Callithrix jacchus: one gene and its partners. The protein of the gene in region 3 binds, or shares a complex with, the protein of the main gene of each other region. Links are inferred from orthologs where the notes say so. Each region holds a gene or a part of one and is shown on either strand. Other genes may lie near its edges. The genes, in order: MYBL2, RBL2, TFDP2, RBL1, LIN52, E2F6 and E2F2.

Region 1 (4,285 bases), on a different chromosome or scaffold from region 3:
CATGGTGGCATGTGCCTGTAATCCCAGCTACTTAGGAGGCTGAGGCAGGAGAATTGCTTGAACCCAGGAGGCGGAGGTTGCGGTGAGCCAGGATCGCGCCACTGCACTCCAGCCTAGGGAACAACAGCGAAACTCCGTCTCAAAAAAAAGAACAAAAAGATGGAGCTAGAAGAAAACCAAGTCAGGCTTCATGTTACAAGGTTCAATAGTTTTTTAGAAAAAGAAAGGGAGAGTTGGCTGGGGGCAGTGGTTCACGCCTGTAATCCCAACACTGTAGGAGGCCAAAGCTGGTCAACATGGTGAAACCCCGACTCTACTAAAATTACAAAAATTAGCCAGGTGTGGTGGCTCATGCCTATAATCCCAGCTACTGGGAGACTGAGACAGGAAAACTGCTTGAACCCGGGAGGCGGAGGATACAGTGACCCAAGGAGGTCTTATCATTGCACTTTAGCCTGGGTGACAAGAGCAAAACTCCATCTCACCCCCCGACAAAAAAAAAGAAGAAAGCGGGAAATTACAGGCTTGGCCAAACCTCCTAGCAGTCAAATGGCAAGAAGCATAATCAACGTCCATGAAACAGAACATCCCAGCTGCTGAGGAGACACAATGGGCCCTAAGGTCTGAGACACACATCCCCTTCCCATCCACCGAGTCCTCAGAATTAAGTCCCCCAGAGGACCTATCCTTTCACTGGCTCCTCCTCTTCATCCCCTCTGACAGGACATCAGGAAGACACTCCAGGCTCAGCTCCTCTGGCCAGCCCCAGCTACCATCAGCCATCTCCTCCCCATGGCACTCACCTCCTCGTGGGTCCATTTGACCTTGCACTTGCTATCCCTCTGCTCTGGCACATCTGAATCTGTGTCCTGGTAGTGCAGCTCATCCAACTCCTCGCTATGGAGAAAGCAGGCCAAAAGGTTAAGGATGTCACTGGGCTGGAGATCAGTATGGCATGATCACAGCCTTAACTCCTGGACTCAAATAATCCTCCCACTTCAGCCTCCCAAGTAGCTGGGACTACAGGGGCATGCCACCACATCCAGCTAATTGTTTGTATTTTTTATGCAGACATGGGGCCCAGAGTGATCTCGAACTCTCCCACCTCGGGAGTAACTAAAAAAACAACAACAATTGAGCGGTAACTATGCCCATTTGTTGTTTTTCTTGAGACAGAATGGATCTGTTACCCAGACTGGAATGCAGTGGCATAATCATAGCTCACTGCAGACTCCAACTCCTAGGCTCAAGCAATCCTCCCACCTTGGCCTTCCAAAGTGCTGGCATTACAAGCCTAAGCCACCGTAACTGGCCAAGTTGTTGCTTGTGCTTGGATTTTTTTCTTTTTCTTGAGACGGAGTTTCGCTCTTCTTACCCAGGCTGGATGGAGTGCAATGGCACGATCTCGGCTCACCGCAACCTCCGCCTCCTGGGTTCAGGCAATTCTCCCGCCTCAGCCTCCTGAGTAGCTGGGATTACAGGCACGCACCACCATGCCCAGCTAATTTTTTGTATTTTTAGTAGAGACAGGGTTTCACCATGTTGACCAGGATGGTCTCAATCTCTCGACCTCGTGATCCACCCCCGCCTCGGCCTCCCAAAGCGCTGGGATTACAGGCGTGAGCCACCGCGCCCGGCCCCTTTTTCTTTTATTTTGTAATGACAGTCTCGCTATGTTGCCCAGACTCATCTTGAACTCCTGGGCTCAAGTGATCCTCCTGCCTCAGCCTCCCAAGCAACTGGGATTACAGGTGTGCACCACCATATCCAGCTTATGTCCATTTTTGCAAATCGCTTCTCTCTTTTGCAAATCCCTTTTCAATCCTTGCCTACACACAGGCATAATTAATGGAAAGAAAAATCAGTGTACTGGCCAGGCACAGTGGCTCACACCTGTAATCTCAGCACTTTGGGAGGCTGAGGAGAGAGCATGAGGTCAGGAGTTCGAGACCAGCCTGGCCAACACACTGAGCCCCGTCTCTACTAAAAATACAGGCGCCTATCCTCAATAGCAGGTGTCATACATGATTTAAAAAAAAAAAAATACAGGCGCCTATAATCCCAGCAGCTTGGGAGGCTGTGGGAGGAGAATCACTTGAACCCGGGAGATGGAGGTTGCAGTGAGCTGAGATGGCGCCATTGCATTCCAGCTCAGGAGACAGTGCAAGACTCTGTCTCAAAAAAAAAAAAAAAAAAGAAAGAGGCCGGGCACGGTGGCTCAAGCCTGTAATCCCAGCACTTTGGGAGGCCGAGGCAGGTGGATCACAAGGTCAAGACATCGAGACCATCCTGGTCAACATGGTGAAACCTCGTCTCTACTAAAAATACAAAAATTAGCTGGGCATGGTGGTGCGTGCCTGTAATCCCAGCTACTCAGGAGGCTGAGGCAGGAGAATTGCCTGAACCCAGGAGGCGGAGGTTGCGGTGAGCTGAGATCGCGCCATTGCACTCCAGCCTGGGTAACAAGAGCTAAACTCCGTCTCACAAAAAAAAAAAAAAGAAAGAAAAATCAGTGTACAGTATATTCTAACATGGCTGCAGAGGAAAAAAAAAAAAAAGTACAAGCTGCTTTGAAGGCTGGGTGTTTTTCTTGTACAAGGGAATTTTCCAAGTTGCTCCAAAAAGCCCTTGTATTTACCCAGTGTAATAGTTACAAAAATGGAAATCACACAATCCACGTCCAGAGATGTCAGGCACATGAGGAAAGTTAGTAACCTTTCCCCAACTCAACAACAGAAACTGCATCAGATCATCTTGGTCTGCTGAGTTGCTAGGTCATGCATTTGTAAACTGGAAGAAGCTTACAGGTTCCAAACAAGGCAAGTCTAGGTCTCATGACCAAATGAAAGGCGACTTACTGTGCTATCCACATTACCTTCTCCTTGTTCTCCACAGCTCACCATTCCTTCCTAGAGTCACTCCTACATTTCCACAGCACATGGAAAAACTTCCTGCCTCAGGTCCTTACACTGCAACTGCCTATCTCTACACAGTCTACAAAGGTCAGCTCCACCTCCGCATCCCAGGGCTTATCACCAAAAGCCTTAAGAAATGTTTGCCCAGTGACTAAATACGCCACAAATGAATGAAAAAAAATGTGCAAAGCAGCTGCCTAGTAGTCGATAAGAAATACTAATTAAATTTTTTAGGCCAGGCAAGACCCGGTTTCAAAAGAAAAAATTTTCAGGAATAGAAAAGGAAGAGATGGGGGACAGGGAGCGGTTTTTTAAAAATAAAATAAATAAATAAATAAGGGGGGGAAAAAAGGAAGAAATGGTGTCGACTGCCAGCAATACATCAGTCACAGAAGGCTCTGGAATTCATTCCTGACCCAGTTCATGGGTCCACCACCATTGCCATATAAAAGGCAAAAATCCAGAAGATACTAGTAACAGAAGGAAGCTGACTTTAAAAACAACTGCCCCCAGACTGCTCGTGACAGAAACCATCTTCGCTTCTCCAGCATCCAGCACAAACAAGGCCTGGCTTCTAGCAGAAGCTCACAAATACTCTTTTCAAAGATGAGAAGGGTGTCTGCATGTACACTCTCTGGTGCTCCAATGCTATTTATTTTTTTTATTTTTGAGAGTCTAATTTTTGTATTTTTAGTAGAGATGGTGTTTCACTATGTTGGTCAGGCTGGTCTCGAACTCTTGGCCTCGGTGAGCCACCATGCCCAGCCTCCAGTGCTGTTTGATACGGTCAGCATCTCAGATAGCTGGGACATTTCTGTGAGATAATATACTTTTTTTTTTTTTTTGAGACGGAGTTTCGCTGTTGTTACCCACACTGGAGTGCAATGGCGCTATCTCGGCTCACCGCAACTTCCGCCTCCTGGGTTCAAGCAATTCTCCTGCCTCAGCCTCCAGAGTAGCTGGGACTACAGGCGCGCAACCACCATGCCCAGCTAGTTTTTGTATTTTTAGTACAGACGGGGTTTCACCTTGTTGACCAGGATGGTTTCGATCTTTTGACCTCGTGATCCACCCGTCTCGGCTTCCCAAAGTGCTGGGATTATAACCCCATCTCTACTAAAAATACAAAAATTAGGCCGGGCGCGGTGGCTCACGCCTATAATCCCAGCACTTTTCGCTGCGAGTTTCCCAGCGAAACTCCGTCTCAAAATAAATAAATAAAATAAAACAAGTAGCCAGTTGTGGTGGCATGTGCCCATAATCCCAGCTACCCAGCCTATAGTCCCAGCTGGCTGAGGTGGGAAGATCACTTGAACCCGGGAGGGTTGAGGCTGCAGTTAGCTATTATTGATTGTACCACTACACTCTAA
Region 2 (3,830 bases), on a different chromosome or scaffold from region 3:
AACTGCCTTTGCAGTTCCAAATGGCAAACTCACTTTTGCCATCACATAAATGGCACACATTAATAACTGGTCCAGATGTCGGTCCATCATAAGTTCAGGACACTGAATTATGGAGAATTCAAAGCAGGTCCAGATTTTTTTCCTCAGTTCATCTGAAATATCTAGTTTGGCACAGAGATCCCGAAGGCGTACACCTGCTAAATGGTATACCTAGGAGAGAAACAAAAACATTTCAAACTTTAACACTTATATTTCCCAAGCTCATGCTTCTGGTAAGGTTACGTGAAAAATTACCTTTCTAAAGAAAAGCGATAATGAGCTGGTTTTCCTGGGTCTATTACTGCTGCTGCTTACGGACTGGCCTTGCTTCTGCTGTTGGCCACCTGGGGAAATCTGTTGAATGGCCACTTGACCAGGGACTTGTAAAGTTGTTCCTGTCACTTGTTGAGAGCTCAGACTTCCAGCCAGGGCCTGAGCACTGAGGGGCTGGATGGAGCCTGTCACAGCTTGTGCCTGCCCCCCAACATTGACTTGGACTGGGTAGAATGTTATCCCTCCATTTTCATTGGCAATACCTAGTTTGTGACAGAAAAAAAGCTTGAAGAAAATGTTAATAAGGGGTTCTCCAGGCAAAGGTTTACAATTTCCCCTCTCTTAACCCCGCCCCCCATCACTCCTCTGTCCCCTGCGTCACTCTAGCCAAACCTTGGGTAACTTTTCAATACATGCCACAGAGAAGGAACTCAATATCCAGCTCTGCCTTCCTTACCTTGCACAGGAATGGTTACTGTTTGCCCATTGTTGGCAGTGACAGTGGCAGTCGCCATGGTGACCAAAGTTTGTCCAGGAACTGGTGTGACAGAAACAGGCTCCCCAGATACATTCTGCACAGGGACAGCATTGACTATTGGCTGTTGGGGCATGCGCCCAGGTGTCCCTCCATCAGAAGGGCTATCATTCTCAACAAATAGCCGCCTTCTGGTAGTGCTGGCTGGTGGTGAGCTGTACCTATCATATAATGTGGTTGGAGATGTTACACCTAGGGTCAAAACAAATCAAAGTATTTAACTCAAGGAGACTCAGATCTGACTTCCATCCAAGTTGTCAGGTTCAAAAATTACTACAGTGTTTGAAATTATGTTTTCATAAATCAAAAAGCAAACAAGAATTACAGAAGTCATATCTTACCTCCATTCCACTAATGAAAATTAGTGAATTTTCAAGAGCAAAATTTTAAAATGGAATTTTTTGTCTTGTAGTGTTCCTTTCTCCAATCCCCCTTTCCCTAATCAGACTCGACTCTGTCTTCCACTACTACAGAACCTTCATGATTTAGGGGCAATTTAAGGCATTCATTACCCTATTTCTCTGTATGACATTTTTCTGTAATAGATATGACTTTACTACAGAGCCACTACTTGACACGATTGGTAGTATGTCATCTAGGAGCATTCCCCCACCAGTTTTACCAATTTTTATCTTTGTCTTTTTCCACATATAAAATATTATTAAAACTCAATATACTTAAGGTGGACATGCATGACTTATGACTTGGATTCAATTAGGCATAGTTTATTTTTTAATCAGTTTTTTATAAACAAGGTGGACGTGCATGATTTGGATTCAATTAAGCATAGTTTATTTTTTTAAACAGTTTATATATCATAAATTTTATCCACTTAAATTGTACAATTCAATGGTTTGAGGTAAATCATTTTTATTTTTATTTTTTGAGACATAGAGTCTTACTCTGTCGCCCAGGCTAGAGTGTAGTGGTATGACCTCGGCTCACTACAACCTCTGCCTCCTGGGTTCAAGTGATTCATGTGCCTCGGCCTCCTGAATGACTGAGATTACAGGTGTATGCCACCATGCATGGCTAACTTTTTTTTGAGACAGAGTTTCGCTCTTGTTACCCAGGCTGGAGTGCAATGGCGCGATCTTGGCTCACCGTAACCTCCGCCTCCTGGGTTCAGGTAATTCTCCTGCCTCAGCCTCCTGGAGAGTAGCTGGGATTACAGGCACGAGCCACTATGCCCAGCTAATTTTTTGTATTTTTAGTAGAGACGGGGTTTCACCACGTTGACCAGGATGGTCTCAATCTCTTGAACTCGTGATCCACCCGCCTCGGCCTCCCAAAGTGCTGGGATTACAGGCTTGAGCCACCGCGCCCGGCCTAACTTTTGTATTTTTAGTAGAGATGGGGTTTCACCATGTTGGCCAGGCTGGTCTCAAACTCCTGACCTCAGGTGATCTGCCCACCTTGGCCTCCCAAAGTGCTGGTATTACAGGCTAGTTTTTTAACACTGTGGTAAAATATATATATATAATTTACCATTTTAACCAATTTTTATGTGTACGATTCAGTGGTATCAATCACATTTACAATATGGCAGAACAGTCACCACTATTTGTAAAACTTCATTACCTGAACAGCCCATTATGGCTTAGTCTGTTTTTAAGTATTCACACCAATGTCTGAATTTTTGAGAAGCATTCCTTCCTTCTTCTGTGTCCACCTCTAAAAGCTGTGTATCAGTTGTTTTTAAATTTTAAAATATATGTAGGAAGTTCGTAAGAGGTATTGATAGGAGTAAATCCTAATAAACTGCAGCTTAACATTTCTATTTCCAGATGACACAAAAGTAAGTCAAGTTACTAGATTTGTATTTGGTACAAAGCTGCAGAATCAGAAAGAATACATTATCATTTTTGTATAAAATATCAAGAGATCTCAGGAAAACTGAGAAGTGATAAGTGCAAAGAAAATGAAGTTTAAAGTTAAGTCCTCTTAATCTGTAAATAAGGGAAGGGAAAATTCTACAAAAATAGACTGAGAAAGACCAGCTGTCAGATCTTTCAAAAATGAGGACTTTTCATATGGATCATCCATGTGTATTAAGTATACACTGACTTAGAGTGATTTTTTTTTGTACAGATAGCATCTTGATATGTTGCCCAGAATGGTCTTGAACTCGTGGGTTCAAGCGATCCTCCCTACTAGGTCTCCCACAGTGCTCGGGTTACAGGCATGAGCTACCATGCCCATCCTAGAGTGATTCCTGACTTTATTTATTTAGAGACAGAGTCTCACTCTGTCGCCCAGGCTCAAGCGCAGTGGCCTGATTCAAGCTCACCACAACCTCCACCTCCGAGGTTCAAGCTATTCTCCTGCCTCAGCCTCCCAAGTAGCTGGGATTACACATGCCCGCCACCATGCCTGGCTAATTTTTTTTTTTATTTTTAGTAGAGACGAGGTTTCACCTTGTCGGCCAAGCTGGTCTCAAACTCCTGACTTCAGGTGATCCACCTGCCTTGGCCTCTCAAAGTGCTGGGATTACAGGCATAAGCCACGGCACCTGGCCGATTCCTGACATTAAAACTGGTATTTCTTCTACAGCCAGCTCTTATCAATTACATTATAAAACTGATCTAGAAATAAGAATATTCTTTTAATTGCATCCAAGGATTTAGAACTCTCTGGATTTACTGAATTGCTCTTTAAAAGGTAGTTCTATTTAAACTTCAACCTTTCATATTGCAGATCTTCCAAGCAGCTGCCTAAAAAGTATAAACCAGATGCACAGCAAAACTGCCCTTTTCTGTATTTCTTGGACCAGCACTAGTGTCACATTAACTAGGGTAGCACATCTCAACAGACCAAGTGGAACATACTCAGTAGTCTTAACTCACGGGTTTGTCTGTACCTAACTGGATCATGTAGCTCTGTCTTTAAGAAGGCATTTCTATTTCTCCTGTAATATGTATTTGCCGTAAAAATTTTACAGAATCACCAGGAATTCTATCAACCAACAATAATCTTAACAGTT
Region 3 (3,830 bases):
ATACCTCCTGAAGGATTGCCTGAAGCTTTTTACAGTTTAATTTATAATTTGAAGAAGTACGCTCTAAAATAATGATGAAAAGTGTAGTTTAGTAAATATGGTAACCCGTAACATAGTCATTTATTATCAAGTATTATGTACTGTCCATAATTGCACATGCTAGACTTCTTTAGCACTGGCAGTGCAGTAGCTTTGTTGCCAGCGTCAGGGTAATGCAGTATGCTATGGCATTACAATGTCTACTGCATCACTAGGCAATGAGAATTTTTCAGCTCCATTGGAATCCATTGGAACAGGGGACCACTGTTGTATATGCAGCAAATGACTGTAGTTTTAATTTCAGTAAAAAATCATATAATCTACATAGAATACAAAAAGATACGTATGTTAGCTGTACAAGGGCAGAGTTTCTGTGTTTCTTTCACTGACTTATTCTCAGTGTCAGTAACAGTATCTGGCACAGAATAGTAACTGTTCAGTAAACATTTGTTGAATAAATAAATGATGGGCATAGAAAAGCACTCTAACTTCATATTTTATTAGGCCCTTAAGGCAAAAAGTAAGTTTAAATAAACATTTTCTCATCTCTGTTAAATTTTTGCCATATGAAGCAAAACTTAAATTACTGTCTTCTTGCATTATCTTACAGAGATTTGTAAAGGAAGTCTCTAATATGTGTAATGGAGTAAATTTTCTCTTCTAGTAAACGGAGCAAAAAAGGAGATAAAAATGGGAAAGGCTTGAGACACTTTTCAATGAAAGTGTGTGAGAAAGTTCAACGAAAAGGTACAACATCATACAATGAAGTCGCTGATGAGCTGGTGTCAGAGTTCACCAATTCAAATAACCATTTGGCAGCTGATTCGGTAGGTAGACCATGAACCTGCCGTTGATTTTGATGGATGATGCTACTTTCTTTGTGTTAGCCGTGTAATAGATTTGAGGAATCAGATAAGCGAGGTGAATGACTATACTTTAGAGTTTCATCCTGTATTTGGGGGGATTTTTTTGTTGTTGTTGAGTTTTATTTTGTAGGGAATTCTTTTTTTAGGCGGAGTCTCACTCTGTTGCCCAGGCTGGAGTGCAGTGGCACAATCTCAGCTCACTGCAACTTCACCTCCTGGATTTAAACGATTTTGCTGCCTCAGCCTCCTGAGTAGCTTGAATTACAAGCACCTGCCACCACGCCCAGCTAATTTTTGTATTTTTAGTAGAGACAGGATTTCACCATGTTGGCCAAGGCTGGTCATGAACTCCTGACCTCAAGTGATCCACCCGCCTCAGCCTCCCAGAGTGCTGGAATTACAGGCATGAGCTACTGCGCCTGGCCACCAGTAATTTTTTTATGTTTCTGAATCTTATTGTTTCTTCAGTGTCTAAGTCAACAAAAAAATTTTATTTTTAATTGGAAAAGGAATACAGAAATATGTTTATTAAAAATTCAGTTGCAGCCGGCCGTGGTGGCTCACACCTGTAATCCAAGCACTTTGGAGGCAAAGGCGGGCAGATCACGTGAGGTTGGGAGTTCAAGATTAGCGTGACCAACATGGTGAAACCTCATCTTTAAAAAAGAAAAAAAAGATAAAAATTCAGTTGTCTGGCAGAGTCTCAAATAAATGCAGTGCAGTGGTGTAATTTTGGCTCACTGAACACTGCCTCCTAGGTTTGAGTGATTCTTGTGCCTCAGCCTCCTGAGTAACAGGGAACAAAAATGGCAAGGCTCTGCCTCTACAGAGAGAAAATTTATTTATTTAATTTTTTTTTTATGAGATAGGGTTCTCACTATGTTGCCACAGGCTGATTTTGAACTCCTGAACTCAAATGATCCTCCAGCCTCAGCCTCCCAAAGTGCTGGCATCACAGGCATGAGTCACCATGCCCGACCTCTACAAAAAAAAAAATTTTTTTTTAATTAGCCAGATGTGGTGGCACAAACCTGTAGTCTCAGCTACTCCAGAGGCTGAGGAGGATTGTTTGAGCCCAGGGATTCAATCATGCATTACAGCCTGGGTGACAAAGCAAGACTTAATCTCTTTAAAAAAGTGTGTGTGTGTGTGTGTGTGTCTATGTGTCTATGACTTATACTCTTGAGCACTGATTTAGCCCTTGATTCTGATATATCGTTCTTTAAATATTCTGTAATTTTGGATTGAATTTGTTCTTTGATCTAAGAATTGCCTTAGAAAGAGTTCTTATAGTTACAAATGTTTTTCTTTTCTTTTTTTGCTTATTTGTTGCCTTAAAGTTTTACTTTTCATACTTAATTTGACCAGATAATATGATTTGAACTATTTCCCTTTTCTGTGGATTATATTTTTTCCTTGGGAGCCATGATATAGTGATTTTCTTTCCTTTTAATGTTCTCTAACCACTTGAAAAAGAAAAATATAGGGCCGGGCACGGTGGCTCAAGCCTGTAATCCCAGCACTTTGGGAGGCTGAGGCGGGTGAATCATGAGGTCAAGAGATTGAGACCATCCTGGTCAACATGGTGAAACCCCATCTCTACTAAAAATACAAAAAAATTAGCTGGGCATGGTGGCACGTGCCTTTAATCCCAGCTACTCAGGAGGCTGAGGCAGGAGAATTGCCTGAACCCAGGAGGCGGAGGTTGCGGTGAGCCGAGATCGCACCATTGCACTCCAGCCTGGGTAGCAAAAGTGAAACTCTGTCTCAAAAAAAAAAAAAGAAAAGTATATAGCATTCTGTTTCTGAGTGAAAGCCTTGGTTCTAACAATGAGCTACAAGCTGCTTTGTGATCTTGCCCACCATTACCTCACTAATCTTGTCCTCTCCTGTGCACTTTCTCATTTACTATCCTCCAGCCACATGTCACTACGCTCCAGCTACATGTTTTGTTCCTGATCGGGCCATTGCACTTGCTGTTTCCTTTGCCTAGAGCACTCTGTGCTATGTATCCATATGGCTTCTCCCTCCATGCCCTGTGATCTCCACTCACCTGTCACCACAATGAAGCATTTCTTCTTAGTACTTTTCAACATATAAAATACATTTTTATTAATACCCGAACACCACCACCTTCCCAGGATACAAACAAAGGTTGAGTTTTTCCCCTCTTTGTTCACTGCTTTGTGATTTTTCTGATGATTTAGGGTGCTTGTAGTCTCTAGTTCTTCAGTTGGTTACCTTTATAACTTAAGTTCCTTGAGTTATCACCTGTAGACAGTGTCTATTGGTTATGAAGAAAAATGTATGTTTATTTTTATCTTCCATTTTTCTCTTCTACCATAAGATTCAGATTAGATATTTTAGTATATTTGTTAAAAGAATAAGAATACTATTACAGGCCAGGCACAGTGGTTCACGCGTATAATCCCAGCACTTTGGGAGGCCGAGGCAGGTGGATCAATCACAAGGTCAAAAGTTTGACACCAGCCTGGCCAACATGGTGGTACGCACCTATAATTTCAGCTACTCGGGAGGCTGAGGCAGGAGAATCATTTGAACCCAGGAGGCAGAGTTTGCAGTGAGCCTAGATGGTGCCATGCACTCCAGCCTGGTGACAGAGCAAGACTCTGTCTCGGAAAAACAATAATAATACTATTAGAATTGTTTGTATTACTTTAAATCAACAGATCGTGCTGAACCTTTTATAATTATTTAATCTGCTTTGAACAATATCCGTATCCCTTCCAGTATCAAAAAGAGGAAATTGGCATACCTACTGCATTTCCTCCTCCTGGTACTTCTTATAGTATCATTTTTTTCTATAATGTCAATATTTCCTTTTTTTTTTTTTTTTTTTTAAGATGGAGTCTTACTCTGTCACCCAGGCTGGAGTGCAGTGGCGCAATCTCGGCTCATTGCAAT
Region 4 (4,413 bases), on a different chromosome or scaffold from region 3:
GCCTCAGATTCAGATGAGATGTTGAACTGTGGACTTTTAGGTTAATGCTGAAATGAGTTAAGACTTTGGGGGACTGTTAGGAAGGCATGATTGGTTTTGAAATGTGACGACATGAGATTTGGGAGGAGGAGCCAGGGGTAGAATGATATGGTTTGGCTGTGTCTTCACCCAAATCTCATTTTGAATTGTAACTCTCACAATTCCTGTGTCGTTGGAGGAACCCAGTGGGAGGTGATTGAATTGTGGGGGCGGGTCTTTCCTGGGCGGTTCTGGTGACCAGAATGAATGTGTTTCACAAGATCTGTTTCTTTTAAAAATGGGAGTTTCCCTGCATAAGCTCTCCCTTTGCCTGCCCCTATCCATGTAAGATATGACTTGCTCGTCCTTGCCTTTCACCATGATTGTGAGGCCTTCCAGCCACGTGGAACTGTAAGTCCATTAAATCTCTTTTTCTTTCCAGTCTTGGATGTGTCTTCATCAGCAGTGTGAAAACAGACTAATATAATATCTAAGACTTAAAAAAAAACTAAGGTGAAATTTACATAACACAAAATTAACCATTTTAAAGTGTACAATACAGTGGCATTTAGTAAATTCACAATGTTATGCAACTATACCACCTATATCAAGTTCCAAAACAGTTTTATCACTCCCCCCCAAAAAACTCTATATTCATTACGCAGTTATTTTTTGTTTTCCCCCTAGACCCTGGAAATCACAGGAACCATTAAGTTAGACTAAGAAAACTTAAAGACATAAGTAGGTATTTAAAAAGACAGATTTTAGATGGCTGTATAATTGGTTCTAGTCATATAAAAAATAGTTTTTTTCAATAATCTCAATTCCAATTTTTATTAGCCATTTTATGTACATTGATAGCAAGTCCTGAAAATGGTAAAACATGTCCAGAATTTCTTTTTTTTTTCTTTTCTGAGACAGGGTCTCACCCTCTCACCTAGGATGGAGTGTAGTGGTGTAATCACAGCTCACTACAGCCTCAATCTCCTGGCCTCAAGTGATCCTCTCCTGTCAATCTCCTGAGTAGCTGGGACTACAGGCACATGCCACCATGCCCAACTAATTTTTAAATTTTTCTGTACAGATGAGGGCTCACTATGTTGCCCAAGTTGGTCTTGAACTCCTGGACTGAAGCAATCCTCCTCCCTTGGTCTCCCAAGTATTGGGATTATAGGCATGAGCCACAGCACCCAGCCCAGGGTTTCTTATACAGTCAATGTACAAATGCTCATTTACATTTTGCATAATAATGAAGATAAAAATGATACAACAGTTATGGCGACATACAAATATGTACAAGGATTCAAGACAGATTTTGTTATTTGGCTTATAACAATGTGTAGATACTACACAAAGAATGAGGATGTAATTTTCATTTACAAGCAAAATGTGACCAAAATCCCTTTTCTTCTTAAAAATAGAAAAATAAAATTCTTGAGAATACTAATTAGTGACAGCCAAATCTTAGACTATTTTAAATTAGCCTGGTTAAAAACAGGTGAGTTAAACATTGTGCCTTTCAAAAATTAAGGTTTGCAGTTAGAAACATAAAGATTTGATAAAAGTTCTCAAAATAAACTATGAATGGCTTATCCATACCCTCTGGATTCTGGACACATATTAGAAAAAGTAAATGTTAAAGAGGTGATATTTTGGAAAGCTGCATCCCTAGTACTGGAAAACATCTTCGGGAGTACCCAGTGGTCAAACACTAGCAGGAAACTCATGATGCACTAATAATACTGAGAACAAAGTTGGGGGAAGTAATAATCAGCTGTTTTACTGATGTATTCAATATATTAGAATTATGAGGCATGAGATGATATTTATGTGGTTTTTTAAACGTTTTCAAATATTCTTAGGGACTCAATTAGACATGACTGATAGTACGATGTGAAAAATAGTATACCATACATCATCAAGATGTTACCTTACTAACAGGAAATTTAGCTTTTAATAACTAACTGAATTTTATTCTACTGGGTTGAGAAGCAGCTGCCAATTTTGAGAACTACATGAGTTAACGCGATCATGCATGATTAAGTTAATGCCACAGAAACCAAAATGATAGTTTACAAAAGAAAAAGTAGCCCATTTTTTGGTTTGTAACATCAGGCTAATATGGCTTAGGGCTTAAAAGCAAGGATAAGGGTAGCACTGGGGCTCAGGTGCAAATCTGCTTTTGCTCAAGGAGAGAAAAGGCATGAGAAGGGGTGAGACAACCCTGAATGGTGGTGGCACCTGGATGTGTAATTACCACAGTGGGCCAGAGACAGGCTGGTACATCACCCTCTGGCTCAGGTACTCTGGGAACCAACCCTCTCCTTCAATTAAATTGAGAATACAAATATCTGAAAGCATGCTTACCAAAAGTAGATTATTTATCCTCATATTACAAAGCTCAGAAGAAGGAGACATTTATTTTTAAAAGAGAGCTAAAAAGTTACAGGGTTTCTCCTTATTTCATCTTGAAAACTAACCCAAGGAGCACACATTAAAAAAAAAATTCCTTGACTATTAATATTTTTAAAAGGCACTTAAAATATTCCTTTCCAATCCAACTTAAAATACATCTCTGTCAACCACATTTTGGGTATTAAAAGCACATAATTTTTGTGCAATTTTTTCTTATAACCCAGTGATATTTACCATCTATAGGGCCAAAAAGGTTTGAAGGACAGAGCTCCAACTTTCTGCAGAATGATCTGAAAGTGCTTTTATCACAGAAACAACAACATTAATGACTTGCTCTCTCACTGACAACATTCTGTAGTCGTTTCAGTAAAACATCATCATTTTCTTGACAGGCACGTTTGGCAGGGGATTCTGCATCACTATCGATGGCTATTGCTCGCTTCTTGGTTCTCTGCTCACCTTGCCTTATCATGTTGTTGATATCTTTCAAACTCTGTACAGAAACAGAAAGTGTGTGAATAAAAGAAGGAGAGGGAAAATGGCAGCAAACAACCAAGTTAATTGTTTTTTCCTGCGCTCTATCCTCTATCCAAATCTTAACAATGGGATAATGATTCTTTTTTAAAGTTAGAACAACCTAATAAGGGATGGCTAGAACTAATCTTTTCAGATAGTTTAAAAAATCAGATTTAAGGCCAGGTGTGGTGGCCTATAATACCAGCACTTTGAGAGGCCAAGATGGTTTGATCACTTGAGCCCAGGAGTTTGACACCAGCCTGGGCAACAGGGCAAACCCAGTCTCTATAAAAAATACAAAAATCAGCCAGGTGTGGTGGCTTGTGCCTGTAGTCCCAGCTACTCAAGAGGTTAAGGTGGGAGCATTACCTGAGCCTGGGGAGGTGGAGGCTGCAGTGAGCAGTGATCATGCCACTGTACTTCAGCCTGGGCAACAGAATGAGACCCTGTCTCAAAAAAAAAAAAAAAAAATTTGAATTTACTGTAGAACAGTAGTTCTCAATGCGTAGTACCCAGACTAGAAGCAGCAGAAGCTTTTTTGTTGTTGTTGCCTAGGCTGGAGTGCAGGGCACAATCTTGGCTCACTGCAATTTCTGCCTCCTGGATTCAAGCGATTCTCTTGCCTTAGCCTCCCTAGTTGGGACTACAGGTGCATGCCACCATGCCTGGCTATTTTTTTTGTAGTTTTAGTAGAGATGGGGTTTCACCATATTGGTCAGGCTGGTCTCGAACTCCCAACCTAGGGCGATCCACTTGCCTTGGCCTCCCAAAGTGCTGGGACCCAAAGTGCTGGGATTATAGGCGTGAGCCACCATGTCTGACTAATTTTTTGTATTTTTAGCAAAGACGGGGTTTCGTCATGTTGCCCAGGTTAGTCTTCAACGCCTGCACTCAAGCAATCCTTCCCTCTTGGCCTCCCAAAGTGCTAGGATTACAAGTGTAAGACACCTCGCCTAGCTGCTTTTCAACCTTTAATGCACTTACTAATTATTTAAAGATCTTGTTAACCTGCAGATTCAAAATTAGTAGGGCTGGTGTAGGGCCTGAGATTTTGGAATTCTCACAAGCTCCCAGGTGATCCTGATGTTGCTGGTCCATGAACCATACTCTGAGTAACAAGGTTGCAGAGAAGTGGTTCTTGAAATCCACGTATATAACAATTATAGGGAGCATGTCATAGAGTCCTAGACCTGCTAGCTGATGATTTGTTATTCACAAGGTCTGTGGGACAGGTATCTGCATTCAACAAGCTCCCCAGGTGATTCTGATTCATGATTTCAGAATCACTGTCTTAGAAGTCAAGTCAATCTTTGACTCCATGCAGCAATCTCTTCTGAACATCCTTATGGGAAATAAATTTGCAAAAGGAAGAAATATAAGTCCATGAAGAAGTGAATCTTTTTGTTTTTTGAGACAGGGTTCCACTCTGTCACCCAGGTCAGAGTGCAGTGGTGCAATCACAGC
Region 5 (4,269 bases), on a different chromosome or scaffold from region 3:
AGGTGTGGTGGCATGTGCCTATAATCCCAGCTATTGGAGAGGCTGAGGCATGAGAATCACTTGAACCCAGGAAGCAGAGGTTGCAGTGACCCAAGATGGTGCCATGGCACTCCAGCCTGGATGACAGTATGAGACTCCATCTCAAAACAAAATAAATAATAACAAAAATAAATTAGCTGGGCATGGTGGTGTGAGCCTGTAGTATCAGCTACTTGGGAAGCTGAGATGGAATGATAGCTTAAGCCTTTCAGTGTGCTGGGAGCTATAATCATACCACTGCATTTCAGCACCGGCAATAGAGTGAGAGAGACCCTGTCTCTAAAAGAAAATTTAAAAAAAAATCATTGAGGGTAGGATCTATAACCTACACCGGTGACCTTATGATACCACAATCTGGGACAGAACTCTGCTGTGAGTCTTACTCTCACAAATTAAGTAATTAGATGGCTGTATTTGAATTTCAGTTTTCTCCTTTTCAAAGAAGTTCCAGCAAATTTAGCATGAAAAAGACAAAAGAGTAAATAAAAAACATTTTTAAATCAATATTGTTTGAATTAAATTTTAAAGACAGTGACAGGTGGAACACTAAAAATAGAAGTGAGAGAGCTAGGCCATGGAATATTTTAGAATGAGTTACTTATTTAGAAGATGAATTTAATTAAGTTCAAAGTGCTCGACTTGATTTTGTCAGATTAAAAAGAAAAGATTAGGTGGAGAAGAGTGAAACTCTGTAAGAGATAAGAATGAAAACTTAAAAAATAAAGAGTGCAAATAAAGTGACCATAAAGATGGCTAGAAGACCAAAGGAAAAACATACAATGTTTTTAATACTCTTCCTGGCCAAAGAAAGGAAACTAAATTGAGAAGACAGGGGAAAAAATCCAACTCAAGAAACACATCTTTAAAATCCCCCAAATCTGTAAAAACAATTTAAAAATAAACTAAAAAATTTAATAACAATTACCTCTACTTCTATCACTTGGCTTTGTTATTTTAAATTGTGGTGAAATATACATAAATTTGACCATTTTAACAACTTTTAAGTATACAGTTCAGTGGTATTAAGTACATTAATTGTGCAATCATCAGCACATTCATTTCCAGAATGTTTTTCACCTACCTAAACTGAAATTTGGTACCTGTTAACAGTAACTCCCTATTCCCTCGCCTTGCTTTTTAAATGCCCTTCTTTCTGGCAAGAGAAGGACATTTCAGCAAGAGAGCACCCAGGCAGGAGACTCTCTTTTGACTCCAAACATCCATAATTTCTTTTTTGTTGTTGTTGAGACGGGGGTTTCGCTTTGTCACCCAGCCTGGTGCAGTGGCATGAACATGGTTCACTGCAGCCTCCACCCCAGGGCTCAAGAGATTCTCCTGCCTCAGCCCCCCAAGTAGCTGGGATTACAGGTGTGTGGCACCATGCCCAGCTAATTTTTGTATTTTTTTTTTGTAGAGACTGGGCTTCATCATGTTGTCTAGGTTGGTCTTGAACTCCTGAGTTCAGGCAATCTGCCCGCCTCAGCCTCCCAAGATCTTAAAACTTAAGATCAAGTAATATATTATTTCTGCATATATCTAATCAATCTTTCAATAAATGCTAATTAAAGACCTACTGTTCACCAGGCACTGTGCTAAACCCTGGGATCCAACTATAAACAAGACAAACTTGAAATTTATAATCTAGCATAAAAGGGGCAAAGTTAACAGAATTACTATGCTGACAAGGAAGACACTGAGATAATGAATAATGGTGGGGAAGAGCGACTCCAGATCCTGTGTTCTAAGAGACTCTTTGGGAGGTGACATCTAAAAAAAGATCTGAAATTGAAAAAAAAATATTTATATGTTTGAGTAATCTTTTGGAATCTCAAAGCACCTAGCATTATGCGTTTCATGTAGCAGGTACTTAATAAAGCTCACCTTGGCTTCAATTTCCTCATTCCTGTAATGAACTTTCAAGATTCCTTCCAAATACAAAATGTGTTTGTCTAAGGGAGGGAAACCTATATATCAATGAAATCGATATATATAGTTGGGATGGGAACGACAGAAACAAAAATGAGTTTAAAAATGACTGCAAGACCCTAACTCTCTAAAGCAGAACCGAGACCAAAAGCATAGGAATATACCAAGACAACCTAATTGTTACTTGAAATGACTTGCATTTTACAATACATAAACAGAAATCGTTCATTCACTCAGCCTGAAGAAACAACACAAAAAGCAGATGCAAAAGAGGTTGCGACCTGTGCAAGACAACACTTAAAAGCTCAATACTCATTCTCCTCGCGACTCTCACGGTGAGGGGCCGAGAACGTCCCCCGATTATCTTGCTGCCACGGCAGTGGTCCCAAACAAGAGACAGGAGAGAGATCATGTTTCTCTTGCGGTTCAGTATCGAGATGAGGTCAGCCAGCAGCCACTGCTAGAGTTTGTGAGAATCGTTCCATCCCTGCGCTCAATCAGAAGAAAACTGATCCCTCAGTGTGATACTCCAAGGAGGAGACTAGTTTAAGGCACGTCCTTTCCTCCACTAACATCTCCTCCGAGGCTCTCAGCCTCACCCAAATAGAGACAAGGAAGGATCAGGGCAACCCCCTGTCCTTTTACCCAAAGTGAGTCCCTCCCTGGTGCCCTCCTCCACACGCCTGGTACAGAGCGGGGAAACTGGGCACCTCCGGAGCCGCTGTGAAGAACCAGTGAGCTGAAGACGGCGATGGATCTCAAGAAAAAAAGTAAAAGGGAAAGGAGAAGAGCCCAAGAAAGAAATGTATGTTTGAGGGGCAGAGACAGAGTAGACGTTGCCGGTAGAGCAAAGAAGGAGGCTGCAGGCAAAGATCTACAAGCCGGCTCTTACCGTCTGTGGGAGACGCCATCTTCCAACCCATGTCACGTGACATGGCCAACCGTCGGCGGGAAAACGAGGATCCATAAGCCACTCCCCCAAAGAGAAACCCTATCCCCAACTCACAGCCTAGTCTCATTCCCTCGCCTCATAGGGCAACATTTGCCTATCCCCGCCCCTAATTATAGCCACGCCCCTCGCGCAGTTGTTGAGGTGGAGCGACTGCAAAATTCTTGGAGGGTCTTATTTACTTTTCTCGGTGAGAGGGCGGGGCCTCGGTTGCGCCCTTGGCCAATCGGAGTTCCGGGTTAGGGGGCGTCTTCCCCGTGTGCACAGTATGGAGTGTCCAAGTCAGGGGCGTCTTCTCTACCTCCGCCAACAGCATTGGCTGAAGTGGGAGAGGGCGAGACCTTTTTCGCTCCTGACCAATCACTTATTCACAGGACTGGCGTGTGAGGGGCGGAATCAGGTGTTGGTTCGCGTGACTGGCTGGAAAAAATAGTCCTACCCACCAATGAGGAAGCCAGTCAGGATGGAGGGCGAGGCCTGGCAGCTGTAGTGCTTCTGAGCAGTAGAGGCGCAGGGTGCGGAGCTAGGGAGGCCGAGAGCCATGGCGGCGGTGGTGGCGGCGGCGGCAGTGCGAGCCCGGATCCTGCAGGCGAGTGAGGGTGGTGCCAAGGGACCATGAAGCCAGGACTTAGATCTTTTCCGTCCACTCCGTGAACCATCCTCGGGCGGGACCACCTTTTTGGCCCAGCCCCTTTTTGGCCGGACCTCGTGTTCCTACGCGACCTGTGCGGCCCTGTCCCATGCGCAGCTCTCACTTCATACCCTACCTCGTCCCGGATCCCACCCGAGCTGTTACTCTTGGCCTTACACCCTTTTACTCCTGAGCCTCCTCTTTTCTGGCTCTCGCCCACTCTCCTCCAGCCCTGCCCGGTCCCTGCTGTCACTCTCTTGCCCTCACCACTCCATCCGTCCACCGTCTTTCCTTTTCACCTCTGCACCAGCCTTCTCTCTCTCCCCCGAGAACTACTCTTTTTGATTACTCTTTCCCTGCCGTGAGCGTCCACGTTGCCATTGCTCCCTTTCCCCACCCTACTTCACTTTCCTTGATCCGAGGTAAGGGGGAGAGGGGATGTGAGGGGAGAGGGTAAGTGTATGAACTTTGAATCTCCTTCTAGACGTGTACTCCAGGTATTCACCAAAGGCAGCCATTTGCAAGCTATTTTCCCCAAGCGTGGCTCTTTGTATTTTCCATAGACTGGGTTGTGCCCTTTCTTGCCAAAACTTTCAGCTAAACTTTCTCTCAGCTAAGTTACAGTTTACATAGATAGGGCACATCTACATAGGGTAGATGAGGGCACATAGTTAACGCTACCAGTGTGTTCCATGTACGTTCAAGGTACTAAACATCTTTAAGA
Region 6 (3,830 bases), on a different chromosome or scaffold from region 3:
CAGGCAATTTGAGTGCTTCTACTGGGAATTATGCTAAATTCTTAAGGAACAGCTCCGGTTATAAATGACTGCTTTAACTGGGAGCTAGTCTAACTGTAACAAAGTCTGTTTTCTCCTGTTTAGTGCAGTTAGGCCTGGGCTGGACACACAGACACCACTGCTCCCTCCTGCTCTTCACTGCACTGTGATCTCATACCAGGGTGAGTATGGGGAGATGCAGCCTCTCAGACGGTCTCAGACCCTCACTTGTCCTTGCTATGACTTTCTAGTACCCAGCAAGTGGGCTAGGGAATATCTGTGCTCAGCTTCTAGAGTGCCAGGTCACATCTGGTTTGAATGGTAAATCCCATACAATTTAACAGATATTTCTAAACAGTAAAAGGAACTAATGTTACTCTCAACTGGAAGCCAGCTGAGGACTTCACATTCCACTAAACTAGTTGTCAAACTTCTGTAAAGGGTGAGCCAGTAAATATTTTTGGCTTTGCAAGTCATACTATCCCTGTCACAATCCCTTAACTCTGCCACTATAGTATAAAAGCAGCCAGAGACACAGTATGTAAACAAATGGGCATGTAGCTGTGTCCTGATAAAAGTATTTCTAAGAACAAGAAGGTCAGTTTGCCAACCCCCACATCTTCATGGTCAGGCTCTGGTCAATTGGGCCCATGTGCACAGACTTGAAATGAGACTCTAAGAGAAGCCTCAGGCATGATCAAAGGCTCAGCCAGATTCAGCAATTACAGTCTGAAGCAGCTCATGGCATAGGGAAAAAGCCCAAAGTCCCCAGTGCCCTGGCTGAGACCACACCTTACTTTTGGAACTTTAAGAGAGGAAAATTCTTGGTGGTTCTTCTAAGAAGCAACTATGAAGCCACCTTAACCAGGTCTGAATTCTGGTGATCCTGACAAAGATAACTCATCTTGTGAGCTTTCGGTTCCTCATCTTTAAGATGAGAATAATGACTACTTGATTTGTTGTTAGTTGAAACAAGTTAAAGGGTATGAAGTGCCTTGAGCAGTGTCAGTATGAGACACACAGTGCACATGCACACAACGGCTCTGAAGCAAACTCTGCCTCCCAGGTTCAAGCAACTCTCCTGCCTCAGTCTCCCAAGTTGCTGGGATTACAGGCGCCTATCATCACGCCCGGCTAATTTTTTGTATTTTTAGTAGACACAGCGTTTCAGTGTGTTAGCCAGGATGGTCTCAATCTCCAGAACTCATGATCCGCCTGCTTTGGCCTCCCAAAGTGCTGAGATTACAGGCATGAGCCATGGCGCCTGGCCTTGGATATTTTAAAAATGCAGGGTTACCTACTTCTCTGGGAGCCGGAACATCCAATCTGGTTTCTGCTGGAGCTTTGACTGCAATGACGATCTGTTCGTGGAAGGCCTGAATGCTATGAATGTCTTGATATGTCACATATGCTAGTGTAAAACTCAGTCAAGGATCTCTATGCAGAATGCTATTTATTGGGGAGATAATTTATCTCTAGTAACTCAGTAACACAAGGGTAATGTTAGAATGTCTTTAGTTTTTATGAGATACAAGTTCACAATGAAGGAAAGCAGTAAAAAAAAAATTCATTGATCATTTTTATTATTCACAAAGATTTTGTAGTGTTTTACAATATTTCCTCAACCTAAAGAGTTTAAGCTATACTATTATAATGATAATTTCTAGAGAAAAATATTAATAAAGTCCAAATCCCTAACACAAATATAGCTCATGAAGAAATTCAAATTTTCATTTGATTCCCTTTTCAGCTACAGTAAGCTAGATCTTACTATAACTTTAAGAAAAAACATTCAGGACTCATCCCCTAAAATCCATAAAAAGGTGTAAACAACTTAGAGACTGTTTCTCAAGACTGTTATGTTCATTACTTCATCCGAAATGATTTTCCTTCTCACTATCTGAGTCTCTTTCGTCCTGTTTCACTGTACTGTCTCAAATTTTACCTCAAATTTACTGGGTTTCCCTAGCACTGTTTTTTTTCCCAATTGGCTGCAGTAATGTTGGTGCTTATTTTTCTTTTCCTTCCAATAACTGTACTGTAGGAATAGAGGTTTCTGACTGCTAGAGAGTTTTAAGTAAATCTGAGGTATGGAATATCTTAGAATCAGTGACCCCCTCACAAAGGGTACCACGGGAACAGCACAGTGTACAGGTCTAAGACACCTAGGAGGTCAGTACCAAAGACAAGGCTCCCCCAGGCCCATTCCCCAGTTCCCAGAGACACTGAGTTTCAAAGGAAAACTGCTATTAAGCAAAACATGCTTCTGTGGACACAAATGGCAGTTGAAGCACCACTTACTTCAATGGCAATTCACTCTGTTTCAGAATCAACTTCCGTTTACAAATTTCTAGGAAAAACATGAATTTCACAAAAGCCAACAAAAATTTATTATCTTTACAGTATTCAGACTATAAAAATGAATGCTCCACTGTTTTAAGTGGCAGCATTGACCTTGGTTTGATACTATACCCGAGGTCATCTTCCAGAATTTAATCTAAGAAACGCCACACCGAAGTTAAAACAACCTACTGCGTACGCTGTGTATGTTTGAGGCTACACTACCAACTTGTACTTACTTAAACTTGTTTTTTGTTGAGATGGAGCTTCGTTCTTGCAATGGCACAATGTTGGCTCACCACAATCTCCACCCCCCCAGGTTCAAGCAATTCTCCCGCCTCAGCTTCACGAGTAGCTGGGATTACAGGCATGCGCCACCACGCCCGGCTAATTTTGTATTACTTTAGCTTGCAATGGTCTAATTTTATATTTTAAATATATAAATTAAGTCCCCAAGCTGACTCTACTATCTAAGTAATCTGCTCTGGAAGGAGAAATTTTAAAAACGTACAGACTTAAAGGATATCTTCCATTTTCTTTGTCATCTGTTAACGCAAACAGCTGCTGAGCACAATCCTTAATTAACTCATCCAAAGCATCTTCCATTGCTGATAAGTCAGAAAGTTCCTCCTGCAGCTTCTTTTGTTGAGGAACTGCTCCAAAATTGCTAAGATCAGATCCTCTTTAAAAGAAAAAAAAATCACCATCAATACCAACTAGGAGATAACAAAGGAATTTGACGTTAGGTTATGGAACCTCAAATGTTTACCATGGGTGTTTTCCACAACAGAAAGTAGGGACTTTCAACTTCTGCCGTCTTTGTTCTAGACAGCCATTATTCCTCCTGTATATAAATTATTCATAGTTCCTCTTACAGTCTTTTGCAAAAAATAAAAAATACATTACACTCTAACAGAAATTAATAATAGCAGAGACAGCCTAAGGAAGCAGAAAGAGCACTGAACTAAGAGTCAGTAATATCCAGCTTAAGCCTCAGTCCTATACTTACAACACAGCTTCTGGTAAGTTAGTGGCAATCTTATAGTACTTGAATTCCTACATATGAAAAAAAAAAGTGTTGGCTAAATGATGGTTCCTCTGCTAAAATGTGATGAGTCTGTATTTTTCCCTAGTGTATGCATTCCATCTGAATACAACAGTTATATTCATTATCATAAAAAAGACGTATTTTCTGGCCAGGCTTGGTGGCTCACACCTGTAATCCTAGCACTTTGGGAGGCTGAGGAGGGCAGATCACCTGAGGTCAGGAGTTTGAGACCAGCCTGGCCAACATGGTGAAACCCCGTCTCTACTGAAAATATAAAAATTAGCTGGGCATGGTAGTGCACAGTTGTAATCCCAGCTACTGGGGAGACTGCAGTGGGAGGATCTCTTGAACCCAGGAGGCAGAGGTTGTAGTGAGCCCGAGATCAAGACACCGTACTCCAGCCTGGGTGACAGAACAAGATTCT
Region 7 (3,830 bases), on a different chromosome or scaffold from region 3:
ATTAACTTATTAATTCTCCCAACAACCTAAGAGTTAGACAGTATTAATTACTATGCCCAATTCACAGATGAGAAAAATTGAGGCCAAGAGAGGTTAAGTGACTTGTCCAAGGTCCCATAGCTGGTAAGCGGATGGGCTGGGATTCAAATCCAGGCCTTCCTAGTGAGGCTTTATAAAGCATTAAATACAATGCACACATGTAGGGGAGAATGACTGCATCCTCAGCTGCTGGATAAAACAGGAGGTTTTCAACAAACACTGATGTAGAAGAGAAAACTAAGGCTGGTTGCTCTCCCCACTTCCTGTCCCTCTGGACAAGAGTCCTACCTGAGGATGCTGTGGGCTCCATGATGCTAGGGTCGGTGCTGCTGCTGGGCTGGGCAGAGTCAGGGCTAGGGCTGAGGGTAGAGGTAGAAGGGAGGGGCTCCTCGGAAGGACTGTCGGGCTCCTGCACCTCCTCTGGGCACAGGTAGACTTCGATGGGCCCTTGGGTGCTCTTGAGATATATCTGCAGGTTGTCCTGGAGGAAAAAGAGAAGCAAGGTCATGGCTCTGGGTGCATCAGTGTGTATGGACAGACACACACGGCTGCTGCTGCCCATGGGAGCAAGCTCAACCCCTGGGCTGGCACTGAGACCAGGTCCATCTGGCCTAGGGTGGACTTTGCTGTTTCTGCTGTCTGGCCCCAAAGCCCACTTCTTTTAGGGGGAACACCTTGGTTTTCCTGTGGGAAATCACTCTTCTCCCACTCTCAGGTCATGCAGTTTTGGGGCAGGGAGGCAGCACCCTTCCCCAATCCCAGTGGGTGAGCTTGTGACACAGCCAGGAAATTTAGTGTGACATGATCAGTTCAGGGTGGCACATGGCTCGGCTCCTTAGGTGGATCTAACCAGCACTAGGCCCAAGACTTTTGCTGGACTTGTGGGAAATGGAAGTCCCCTTCCCACTGGGGTTGCTGAGCTGGTATCCCAGCACTTTGGAGGCCGAGGCAGGTGGATCACTTGAGGTCAGGAGTTCAAGACCAGCCTGGCCAATGTGGTGAAACCCTATCTCCACTAAATGCAAAAAGTAGCTGGGCGTGAAGGTTGGGTACAGTGGCTTGCTCCTGTAATCCTAGCACTTCAGGAGGCCAAGGCGGGTGGATCACCTGAAGTAACAAGTTCAAGACCAGCCTGACCAACATGGTGAAACCCCATCTCTATTAAAAATACAAAAATTAGCTAGGCGTGGTAGCAGGTGTCTGTAATCCCAGTTACTGGAGAGGCTGAGTCAGGAGAGTTGCTTGAACCTAGGAGGCGGAGGTTGCAGTGAGCCAAGATCATGCCATTGCACTCTGGGCAACAGAGCGAGACTGCATCTCAAGGAGGCTATCTCTGCCATCACAAGGAAAGAGCCCACCTGGGAATGGAGTCAGCACAGAGAAAAGCAGAGAGATGAAAAGCATGAAACAGACCTGAAGTCATAGTTTGAGCATATACATCCAGCCTTGCCTGCCATCTCTGAATCTCCCCCAGAACTTGTCATTTGGTTCCCACCACCCCTACCCACACCTACGGCTTAAGCCAGTTGGACTTGACTTTCTGTTACTTGTAACCAAGAGTCCTGATATTTAGCCTTCTCACCCTGCCTCTTCCCTACCACATAACCACAACTTAAGCCACAACTGATGACATGCATGGCATCCTGGCACACGTCCAGGTCTCCATGCCTGTGCTCACATAGAACTGCACCTACCAAAAACCCCATTCCCTGAACTTCTCCAGGGAGGCCAGGCGCGGTGGCTCACGCCTGTAATCCCAGCACTTTGGGAGGCCGAAGTGGGTAGATCGTGAGGTCAGGAATTCGAGACCAGACTGACCAACACAGTGAAACCCTGGCTCAACTAAAAATACGAAAATGTGCTGGGCCTGATGGTGTGGACCTGTAATCCCAGCTACTCAGGAGGCTGAGGCAGGAAAATCACTTAAGCCTGGGAGGCAGAGGTTGCAGTGAGCTGAGATCATGCCATTGTACTCCAGCCTGGGCAATGGAGTGAGACTCCGTCTCAAAAACAAACAAAATCCTATTCATTCTTTTTTTTTTTTTTTTCAGACAGTCTTGCTCTGTCACCAGACACCAGGCTGGAGTGCAGTGGCATCATCTCGGCTCACTGCAACCTCCGCCTGCCGGGTTCGAGCAATTCTCCTGCCTCAGCCTCCCGAGTAGCTGGGACTACAGGCATGCACCACCACAGCCAGCTAATTTCTGTATTTTTAGTAGCAACAGGGTTTCACCATGTTGGCCAGGATGGTCTCGATCTCTTGACCTCATGATCTGCCCACCTCGGCTTCCAAAGTGCTGGGATTACAGGCGTGAGCCAATACACCCGGCCCAAAACCCTATTCATTCTTTAAGATCTAGTTTAACTGTCTCCACCCAGGATGTCTCCTCTACCCTTTCTCTATGCTCTCAAAGCAACATCTTCAGTCTATAAATGACCACGTCTTTTTCCCACTAAGGCCTGAACTTCTCCAGGGGAGGAGAGGGAACTTAATCATCTCCACAGCTCCAGTTCTTCCTTTAAACAAATTATTTCTTGAGCCCTTATCATATGCCAGGCTCTGGGCAGGGAATACAAGGTGAGCAGAACTTTCCCTTGTGAAGCTTACACTCTAATAGATGAAGCAGAATGCAATCATGTTATCATGCCAAATATACCTCAGCAAATGGAGACTAAAGGCAGTGTAAAAGCACAGGCGGTTATAAAGTCTGCGTAATCAGAGAAGGCTTCCTTGAGAAAGTGACATTTGAATTGAGATCTGTAGGATGAATAGCAATAAACCAGGCATAAAGAGAAGAGCATTTCAGTTGAGGAAACAGCATGTATGAAGGTCTTGCAAGACTAGGTGCAGTGGTTCACACCTATAATTCCAGCACTGTGGGAGGCCAAGATGGGCAAATCACTTCTGTACCAGAGTTTGAGACCAGCCGGGACAACATGGCAAAACCTCATCTCTACAAAAAATACAAAAAATTAGCTAGGCATAGTGGCACACACCTGTGGTCCCAGCTAATCAGGAGGTTGAGGTGGGAGGACGGCCTGAGGCCGGGAGGCAGAGGTTGCAGTGAGCTGAGATCATGCCACTGCACTCCAGTCTGGGAAACAGAGCAAGACCCTGTCCTCAAAAAAAAAAAAAAAAAAGGCCGGGTGCGGTGGCTCATGCCTGCAATCCCAACACTCTGGGAGGGCAAGGTGAGCAGATCATGAGATCAGGAGTTCAAAACCAACCTGACCAACATGGTGAAACCTGTCTCTACTTAAAATTCAAAAATTAGCCAGGTGTGGTGGTACACACCTGTAATCCCAGCTCTCAGGAGGCTGAGGCAGGAGAATCGCTTGAACCTGGGGGGCGGAGGTTGCAGTGAGCTGAGATCACGCCATTGCACTCCAGTCTGGGCAAAAGAATGAGACTCCATCTCAAAAAATAAATAAAATGTAACAGATCTCACACTAGGAATGAGCTTAGTGCAATGGGGAAACTGCAGACAGATCAGTGTGGCCAAAACAAAGATAGATGGGACAGCAGGGAGAAGGAGGTTGGCAAGGTCAGCTGGGGTCAGAGCACTGAGGCCTTATAGGGAGTGTCAGGAATTTTGGTCTTCAACCTGGGAAAGCATGGTCAGCACGAAAGGATTTTCATGAGTACTGACATCGTCATGTGTAGGCATGAGTGTGCATGTACACAGGAACTCAGGGCTGGTGGGATGCAGTAAGAAGCTAGGAACAGAGATTTTCTCAGGCCACTATTCAGTCTCCGTTGCCCTTTCCAGCTTCTGCCATTTCTGCCTAAG

The links.
Region 1: TFDP2 (region 3) and MYBL2 share a complex: the UniProt entries of both Homo sapiens proteins name them as parts of the DREAM complex. The link is inferred for Callithrix jacchus from reciprocal best matches to the Homo sapiens genes TFDP2 and MYBL2.
Region 2: TFDP2 (region 3) and RBL2 share a complex: the UniProt entries of both Homo sapiens proteins name them as parts of the DREAM complex. The link is inferred for Callithrix jacchus from reciprocal best matches to the Homo sapiens genes TFDP2 and RBL2.
Region 4: TFDP2 (region 3) and RBL1 share a complex: the UniProt entries of both Homo sapiens proteins name them as parts of the DREAM complex. The link is inferred for Callithrix jacchus from reciprocal best matches to the Homo sapiens genes TFDP2 and RBL1.
Region 5: TFDP2 (region 3) and LIN52 share a complex: the UniProt entries of both Homo sapiens proteins name them as parts of the DREAM complex. The link is inferred for Callithrix jacchus from reciprocal best matches to the Homo sapiens genes TFDP2 and LIN52.
Region 6: TFDP2 (region 3) and E2F6 share a complex: the UniProt entries of both Homo sapiens proteins name them as parts of the DRTF1/E2F transcription factor complex. The link is inferred for Callithrix jacchus from reciprocal best matches to the Homo sapiens genes TFDP2 and E2F6.
Region 7: TFDP2 (region 3) and E2F2 share a complex: the UniProt entries of both Homo sapiens proteins name them as parts of the DRTF1/E2F transcription factor complex. The link is inferred for Callithrix jacchus from reciprocal best matches to the Homo sapiens genes TFDP2 and E2F2.

The regions. Positions count from the first base shown.
Region 1 is NC_133506.1:39,048,065-39,052,349, reverse strand, and holds the start of MYBL2 (myb-related protein B), read right to left. Parts: upstream 2,978-4,285; 5' UTR 2,941-2,977; coding exon 2,876-2,940; exon of another isoform or gene 2,873-2,875; coding exon of another isoform or gene 2,859-2,872; intron 898-2,858; coding exon 804-897; intron 1-803. UniProt on the Homo sapiens protein: Transcription factor involved in the regulation of cell survival, proliferation, and differentiation. Transactivates the expression of the CLU gene.
Region 2 is NC_133521.1:11,390,768-11,394,597, reverse strand, and holds part of RBL2 (retinoblastoma-like protein 2), read right to left. Parts: intron 1,040-3,830; coding exon 770-1,039; intron 576-769; coding exon 295-575; intron 211-294; coding exon 34-210; intron 1-33. UniProt on the Homo sapiens protein: Key regulator of entry into cell division. Directly involved in heterochromatin formation by maintaining overall chromatin structure and, in particular, that of constitutive heterochromatin by stabilizing histone methylation.
Region 3 is NC_133518.1:42,562,774-42,566,603, forward strand, and holds part of TFDP2 (transcription factor Dp-2), read left to right. Parts: intron 1-703; coding exon 704-866; intron 867-3,830. UniProt on the Homo sapiens protein: Can stimulate E2F-dependent transcription.
Region 4 is NC_133506.1:2,313,039-2,317,451, reverse strand, and holds the end of RBL1 (retinoblastoma-like protein 1), read right to left. Parts: intron 2,927-4,413; coding exon 2,756-2,926; 3' UTR 824-2,755; downstream 1-823. UniProt on the Homo sapiens protein: Key regulator of entry into cell division. Directly involved in heterochromatin formation by maintaining overall chromatin structure and, in particular, that of constitutive heterochromatin by stabilizing histone methylation.
Region 5 is NC_133509.1:109,031,223-109,035,491, reverse strand, and holds the start of LIN52 (protein lin-52 homolog), read right to left. Parts: upstream 2,896-4,269; 5' UTR 2,889-2,895; coding exon 2,858-2,888; intron 1-2,857.
Region 6 is NC_133515.1:103,595,972-103,599,801, reverse strand, and holds part of E2F6 (transcription factor E2F6), read right to left. Parts: intron 3,041-3,830; coding exon 2,885-3,040; intron 1,435-2,884; coding exon 1,320-1,434; coding exon of another isoform or gene 1,316-1,319; intron 1-1,315. UniProt on the Homo sapiens protein: Inhibitor of E2F-dependent transcription. Binds DNA cooperatively with DP proteins through the E2 recognition site, 5'-TTTC[CG]CGC-3'. Has a preference for the 5'-TTTCCCGC-3' E2F recognition site.
Region 7 is NC_133508.1:60,271,569-60,275,398, forward strand, and holds part of E2F2 (transcription factor E2F2), read right to left. Parts: intron 521-3,830; coding exon 328-520; intron 1-327. UniProt on the Homo sapiens protein: Transcription activator that binds DNA cooperatively with DP proteins through the E2 recognition site, 5'-TTTC[CG]CGC-3' found in the promoter region of a number of genes whose products are involved in cell cycle regulation or in DNA replication.